2 linked regions of the Oryzias latipes genome follow. Each later gene encodes a partner of the first gene's protein in a complex. Links are inferred from orthologs where the notes say so. Each region holds a gene or a part of one and is shown on either strand. Other genes may lie near its edges. The genes, in order: exosc3 and exosc5.

What was found.
Region 2: exosc3 (region 1) and exosc5 share a complex: the UniProt entries of both Homo sapiens proteins name them as parts of the RNA exosome core complex. The link is inferred for Oryzias latipes from reciprocal best matches to the Homo sapiens genes EXOSC3 and EXOSC5.

The regions. Positions count from the first base shown.
Region 1 is NC_019868.2:3,163,911-3,167,809, forward strand, and holds the start of exosc3 (exosome complex component RRP40), read left to right. Parts: upstream 1-968; 5' UTR 969-1,000; coding exon 1,001-1,243; intron 1,244-3,564; coding exon 3,565-3,714; intron 3,715-3,899. UniProt on the Homo sapiens protein: Non-catalytic component of the RNA exosome complex which has 3'->5' exoribonuclease activity and participates in a multitude of cellular RNA processing and degradation events.
Region 2 is NC_019873.2:26,313,047-26,316,970, reverse strand, and holds the start of exosc5 (exosome complex component RRP46), read left to right. Parts: upstream 1-1,373; 5' UTR 1,374-1,419; coding exon 1,420-1,516; intron 1,517-2,535; coding exon 2,536-2,649; intron 2,650-3,200; coding exon 3,201-3,322; intron 3,323-3,406; coding exon 3,407-3,547; intron 3,548-3,924. Other genes in the region: catenin alpha-1-like, read right to left, coding at 1-146. UniProt on the Homo sapiens protein: Non-catalytic component of the RNA exosome complex which has 3'->5' exoribonuclease activity and participates in a multitude of cellular RNA processing and degradation events.

The sequences.
Region 1 (3,899 bases):
GAATGCTCTGCTGCCTGCAATATTGTCCAACATGAGCGCTTTGGCAATGGGTCAGGTATGGTTTGGGGCGGCATTTCTTTGGAGTGCCACACAGCCCTCCATGTGCTCACCAGAGGTAGCCTGACTGTCATTAGGTACTGAGATGAGATTCTCTGACCCCTTGTGAGACCGCATGTTGGTGCGATTGGCCCTGGGTTCCTCCTAAAGTAAGACAGTGCTAGGCCTCATGTGGCTGGAGTGTCAGCAGTTTCTGCCAGACGAAGCTAATGATGTCATGGACTGGCCCGCACACTTTCCAGACCTGAATGCAATTGAGCACATCGGGGACATCATGTCTCGTCCATCCACTAACTCCTGGTTGCACCCCAGACTGTCCAGGAGTTAGCAGATGCTTTGGTCCAGGCGTCAGAGAAGATCCCTTGGAGGACCACCCGCTGCCTCATCAGAAGCGTACCCAGGCATTGCAGGGGAATCATATGGGCATGTGGAGGCCACGCCCACTACTGAGCCTCATTTTGACTTGTTTCAAAGAAATTACATTGAAGTTGGATCAGCATGTAATGTTCACACATCCAGACATCCATAGCCGAATAGTTTTAATTTCCATTACTATTTTTATTTTATTGTGTTGTCAGGACATGCAAATATGTAAAGAATGAAGCATTTCAAAAGAATATTTCATTTGTTCAGGCATAGCATGTCTTTTTTAGTGCTCCTAAATCGTTTGAGTTGTGTACGTGTGTGTGGGTGTGTCTGTGTGTTACACTATTGAGACATTTTTATACTACTTTTTGTTTCTGTAGAAAATTATTTTACCTTTTTTCAAAGACGATTATTTTAGAGGAAATTTGGTGAGACCTGGATTTATCCAAAACGTTTTGAAAGGTGTGTCCTTTAAACAGGAAAATTCTTATAATTTAGAAAGCGCTATTGTTCCTCCTGGTCACCAGGGGGCGCAAAGTAAGGATCTGATATAAACAACAAAAAGAAGAAGACGACCATGAGCACGACAGGAGGCATGTTCGCCGTTCTGAAGGAGAAAGTTGGACAGGTTCTGGTTCCGGGGGACGAGTTCTGCTTTGGTGCAGAGGAAACGATCTCTCTGTCGGAGAGCGCGAAGCCGGAGCGCGCGGTGTGTGGACCAGGGCTGCGGCGGAGCGGAGACCGCCTGGTGGTGATGAAGAGCGGCGTGCTGCGGCACAAACCGCCGCTCACCTTCTGGATCGATTCCCAGCAGAAGCGGGTAAGAGCGGACCGGTCCGAACCAAAGGTTCTGAGATCCCAACAAACTGCGTTCAGCGGTCCAGAGACGTGTTTAGAGCATTAATGTGAAGCGGTCCGGTCACAACCAGCATTCAAACACAACTTTATTGATAGCACTTCCTGATGAAATCCACCTCAAGTGCTTTATATAACAAATAGTAAAAATATCAGTTACAAATAACAAAGTATAATCAAATAAAAACCAAATACGCGTCAAGCTAATACATCAAAATAAACTAAATTAATTATTTATCAAATTAAAACATATGGACTGATACAGAGATATGGGTTTTGATTCGATGCACTCAACTAACCAAGAATTTAAAAAAATCCACACATGATCTGCGTATTTTCAATTTAGACCCAGATTATTTATGCAAACACAAGTTTCATTTTTGCAAACTTGTGTTTGCTTAAATAATGTACTTTGTTGTGAATAAATGTGTCCGCGTGCGTTCGTTCCATTGATCCTTAGGACAGTGTTTTTCAACCTTTTTTGAGCCACGGCACACTTTAACCCTGAAAAAAATCCCGCGGCACACCATCATCCAAAAAAAAAAAAAAAAGCAGAAATTCATGGTCTGTATTGATCGACAGCGCCCCCCCCCCCCGCAATCTCACGTGAATTTTTGTGATAATTGTGGCAGAAAAAGCAGGAATTTGCGGCTGTTTTTTTCTAAGAGATGAACCACCAGCTAAAGCTCGTCTTTAGCTGGTATATTTGTTAGAACTGAGCGACTTTATCAGCAGAATTAAGAACAAGGAAGTGAAGACTTTAAGCACTTCTGATTGGTCAGACTGATGACATGTGATTAAGCCTTCAAGAATGATTGGCGGAGACAGTTAAAGGGGCGGGACTTTTCCTTACACAGTTAGAGCTGCAGCTAAATCGCGGTACCGTGATTTTTATCAAAATCTCTTTAATAGAATTAAATAAACACAAAGAAAAAGTAATTTTAAGATCTTTTATATTCCTAACTACTCAGTGTTTTATCAGGGCCTGTTTGGATGAACACAGAGCTGAAATCCTGGAGATGGAAAATGTTTTTAGATCAGTTAATGAGGGCAATTTCTCCACGGCGCACTTGACCATCTCCCACGGCACACTAGTGTGCCGCGGCACACTGGTTGAAAAACACTGCCTTAGGAGAATCGTAGTGTGACGTCACCCATACAAATGGCTTACTGGCTCAAAGATGAAACAAACAGAGATGCTTGTCCTCCCCGAGCAGCAGCAGGTGAGCAGCAGAGTAGAGAACCGCCCCGTGTACTGATGATGGGTTGGTTGGCAGTGAAACATCTCTAAAGTCGGATCTTGGCGTTTACTATATTATTTCACCCATTTTGACTTAATTATTCTCTGTGCTGCACATGACTGCGTCTCTGGTCAGCGTGAGTTGGCGCTCAATGCACTCTGCAGGTGGGTGCTGGGGTGGTGTTGGTCCAGTAGACCTGCAGCTGCTCAGAACTGCACAAACGCCAGACGTATAGAGAGAGAGACAGGCACAACTCATTGTCATGGAATACCTTAAGTCAGAGAAAATGAACATGGAGGCATTAAATAATTCTTTGTGTTTTTAAAAGAGTGGATTCGACAGATGTGATCATAGGCGTAACTGATTTGTTTCCACATCTCACTTTGAGCAGTGGCCTATAGACCACATGTGTTGTAACTTTTTTGTGTATTTTTTCACATTGTTGTCTGAATTCTAATAAAACCAGGTTATGTCTTGAGCCAGGTTCAAATTTGCACAAGGTCATTTCTCTGAATATAAAGTTATATGAATGACAAGAGGATCTTGTTTGTGAAAACTGTTTTTTGCCTTGAGAATCTGTATGTGAGAGGAAAAAAAGTGGAGTAACCGGTAGGCAATTACCGTACTAAATAGGTGAGTAAAGTAATTTAATTACAATTTTGTAACACTAAGTAAACAGTTACTTTTTAGAAGTCATTTTCCCAACACTGATGCCAATATGACGTCACCCGTTTCCCTAAATAGAAAGGTAATAAATATGAACATTTTATGACGACTTTATGAATCTACTGTGTTCTGATGATGAAAACCTAATGGTTTATAAAAAATAGTGGCCAATCAGGAGTGAGCTTGTTTGAAGGTCACACCCCTATCACTTGAAAGCAGGCTACATAAAATCTGTCAAATGTTTCACACATTCAATGTGAGAAGTTATGTCAATGGGATTTTGGCTTCTTGGAGCCAGCGGGTTCTTCCTGTTTGGAGCATGAGGAGGGAGGGGTCCTTCAGTCCAGTTCTCGAATAGTCAATGGTTTGTTCTCCTCAGTATGTCGCCACTAAAGGGGAGACCGTGATCGGGATCGTGACGGCCCGAGCAGGAGACACCTTCAGGGTGGACTTTGGCGGCAGCGAGCTGGCGTCTCTGTCTTACCTGGCGTTTGAAGGAGCCACCAAGCGAAACCGACCCAACGTCCAGGTGAGTGTGGGTGGGGCTCTGTGTGCAGTCTGCTGTGTGCAGTCACTCCAAGGAGCCACTCCTGTGGAGCTCAGCACTGCAAGGACCGTTTTATTTGCCATCTGAGTCCATCTAGAGCAGCGGTCTCCAACCCCCAGGCCGTACAGACAGAATAAATAACTTACAGTGCTTCCTTTTTATTTATT
Region 2 (3,924 bases), on another chromosome or scaffold:
GCCGCTGCCTCCAGCCGGGTGAACTGCTCTGGCTCATGTTCACTGTCGCACAGCAGCACGAGGAGACAAAGGTGACTGGAGATTGGGGCAACCACTTTCTCCACTGCTGCAGTTTTGATAAAACTTTGATCCAGACATGAAGGCATAGTTTCATTTATCGGTGAATTCTTCCCTCTGCGAAAGAATTAGCTGTGCTGCATGTATTATTTATCATGCTACACAAAGTGCCATATGGCAGTTCCCCATAGCAACTGTTGTCACAACGTTATTTAGAATTAATAACATATAAATCATCATTTCTGACATTATTCATTGATTATTGACTGCAGTGGTGGTTCTGCACTAACTTACTCCCAGGGAGAGTAACTCCCCAGTGCAATTTGACGTTCTTTTGTGTTCCCTATTTTTATTTGGCCATTTTACACAAAAGATGCGTGAATTTTGTGGGCTCGTATTACGGGGGTGTCAAACTCACTCACACAGGGGGCCTAAACAGAAAACATGCTTTAAGTTGGGGGCCCAACAACATTTATTTACCAAACTAAAGCTACACTTTAAAAAACAAAACAAAAAATACTTTTAAACCTTTATAACAGAGGTTTTTTAACATAAAAATGAATAAAAACAGACAGTATTGTTAATCCAGAATAAATCAAGTTAAACCGTTAATAACGGTGCTCTCCATAAAAATATATTCAGTCAAAATTATACAAATATGAACATGCTGCAGAACAAAATAAACAAAGTCTGGAAATATTTAATTCAAATTATTCCGTTTTATTTGCTGTTTTGTCAAATTTTTTGTCAGCAAGTAAGTTCATTTCTGCTTGCTGTGTGACGTGCTGTGTGTGTCTTTGTGAAACGTATCAAAGGGATTTGATTTTTTTTTAAACTGCTATTATGAAAACCATTTATAGGTCTTATAAAACATTAAAAACTAAATCATATAACTCCTCACTGGAATTAATCAAAGTTTATTTTGGCATTTTCCTAATTTTGTGCAACACCAACAGTAAAAATTCTCCAAAAAGCCTTAATTCATTCATTAACAAATGATCCATTGTTTATGTCTAATCTCAAAAAGTGCAGCTGTTTTACTGCCTGCATTACCTGCTGTCTTTATGTCAAATACTGACACCAATTAAATGACAGGCATACGTAAAAAATACATTTTATATGGAAAATAAAGACACGTAATAAAAGTGTCCAACAACAACAATAGCAATAATCATAATAATAATAATAATAATGTTAATAATATATTTTTTAAACTACTTACTTTGTTGTTGACTTTCTGACTGTTTTTTATTGAACACAAAATTTAAAACACAACATTGGTTTTGATGCAGAGCCCCTTCGCGTCGGTAAATAGATGACGTCATCGTCCAGCGACGCATCCCCTTCCGTGTTGGCAACGTGATGGAGGTTTCTGCTCCTTCAAATGTTTCTCTCCGAGAGTTTGGCTGCGAGCAGAGTTTACTTTCTCGGCCGGATGGATCTGCGTCTTTCGTTCAAGGTAACAGCTGAAGGAAAATGTTGACTTTTTTCTTTAAGAATATGAGTACAACTCCCGATTCCGCCCAAAGAATTATGGACAAACTTATTATTTCAGAGAAATAATTTGACTCTCGACTGCTGGCAAACGATCTTTAAATGAGTTTTAAGCTAAGAATGTCCTAAAGTACTTTTTGTATTTGCTTTATTTTGGTTTTGCATTAGTTTTAGCTCTTGGTAAATGTTGTAAAATTGTTAATATTCAAGAACAAAAATGAGCAGCTAAATAATAACTAAATATTTTTACGAACTTATCTTTTCACATTTAGTTTTTTGTAATCAAAAGTCAACTGCTGTTAAACCATTAAGAAGCCAAACATTTGAAAAATAATTTCTAGTCATTTTTCTATAAATAAAGATGTTGAAATGTTGGATTCATCTGTTTTACTTTCTGTGTTCAGATCAGCTCTCTCAAATTTAAATATTTATTTCTTGGTTTACTCATCCTCTTTTTTTCATTCCCCAAATCATCTTTGAATATTTGTATCCTAGTGGTCATTGTGAACTGTTTACATCGCCGGCATCGGACTGTATAGTCTGGGGTCTTGGAGCAACATTTTTTCAAAGATTTTCTAATAATTTCCCTATAAAAGTTTTTTTTTGGGGTAATGCTTTAAATTATTTTTTTAATATGACCCCATCTTCTTTTTTATTCTTTTTTTTCAAGATATTGTTTAATATAGTGTATGGGATAGGCTCCAGCAGGCCTGTGACCCTGAAAGAGACAAAACGGGTTTAGAAGATGAATGAATTATATACTATGTAATAATTCTACAGTAAACCTGAAACTGAACCAAAACCACCACTCTAAGCAGCAGATTTGGTCATGCATTTACTGCAAGATTTACACTGTTTTTATGTTTTATAGCCAAGATCAAAGTTTACAGACACAATAAGAATGTAGAAATCACATCATTGTTTCAGGTTTGTCCTCTATTTTAATAGAACTTTGATCTTTGTGTTGTTTTTGTGTCTCTGGAGGGGACACGAGTGTGATGGCTGGAGTTTATGGACCTGCTGAAGTAAAGGTCAGTAAGGAGATCTACGACCGAGCAACTCTGGAGGTGCTGGTTCAGCCCAAAGTTGGTCTGCCGAGTAAGTTCTGCTGCATGTCCTGGAAAAGTCAGATGCTGTCACGTGTGTCTGGTTTTTCTGAAACCAATTCAATCCTTTTTGTTTTTAATCTGTTGTAGAAAAAAAGCAAAAACAACTACTAATCCTTGTTTTTGTTGCTCTAAAATGAATAAATCCAGCTTTAAAGAAGGAAGTCTGTTAAATGTAGAGACAATTATAATCACTTTCAATGGATTCAAATGTTTATATGCAAATATCCTCTTAAGCCTGGTTTCATTCATGTCTTTGGGTTGAATGGAAATCACAGATGCTGTTTTATTTCTACTGAATCACAGTAAAAAGATGAACTTCCTCAGGTCTCATGTGGGTTTTAGTTTCATCTGAAGGCTCACTCGTATCTCAACAGTTCTGCAATTTATAAATAAGCATTAAGACAAAGGTCCGATCAAGGTATTAAAGTCTTTCTTTAGGAATGTTTTGTGCAACTGATTTATAGGATTACGCCATAAGGGGGAGCCAGTGGATTCCTTATCAGCTTTGAACTCATATCCCATCATGCCTCTGTTTTCCAGGTGTGAGGGAGCGCTCGCAGGAGCAGTGTGTGCGTGAAACCTGCGAGGAGGCGCTGCTGCTCACCCTCCACCCTCGATCTTCGCTCACGCTGGTCCTCCAGGTGCTGCACGACGACGGCTCTGTATCCTTTACTAAACCCGACCTCTGAACCCGCGGGGGGCGTGGCCTAGCACCTGCCGAGTCGTCTTCCTTACCTGCTCTGCAGCTCCTGTCCTGCTGCCTGAATGCAGCCTGCATGGCCCTCATGGACGCAGGTCTGCCGATGAGCTGCCTCTTCTGCGGCGTGACCTGCGCCATCAGCGCATACGGGCAGATCATCACTGACCCCACCTCAGCTCAGGAAAAGGTCAACCAAAGATGCTGACACTAACCTGAAAATCTTCATTTTTGCTGCTTTGAATGTAGAAATATAATCAGAAAGCAAGTTTAACAAAAAGTTCTCAATTTATGGTTTAATTTTCATGAAAAAAAGTCACATTTCATAGAATCCCTAAAACATGGATGTCGGTTTTCATCAGATCACACCCCTGACCTAACTTTACTGGTGAAACAAAAATCCAGCTGTGTAGTTTAGATCCAGATTCCAGCTCAGGGGAGGATAAACAAATTTAAAGGCTAATAAAAATTCTAACTTTGCTAAAAAAAAATGGGTTCATTTTCCACCAAAACTATTTTTTTTTTATTTCATAAAAATGCAGTTTTTCTTTAGTGTGTCACCTTCAG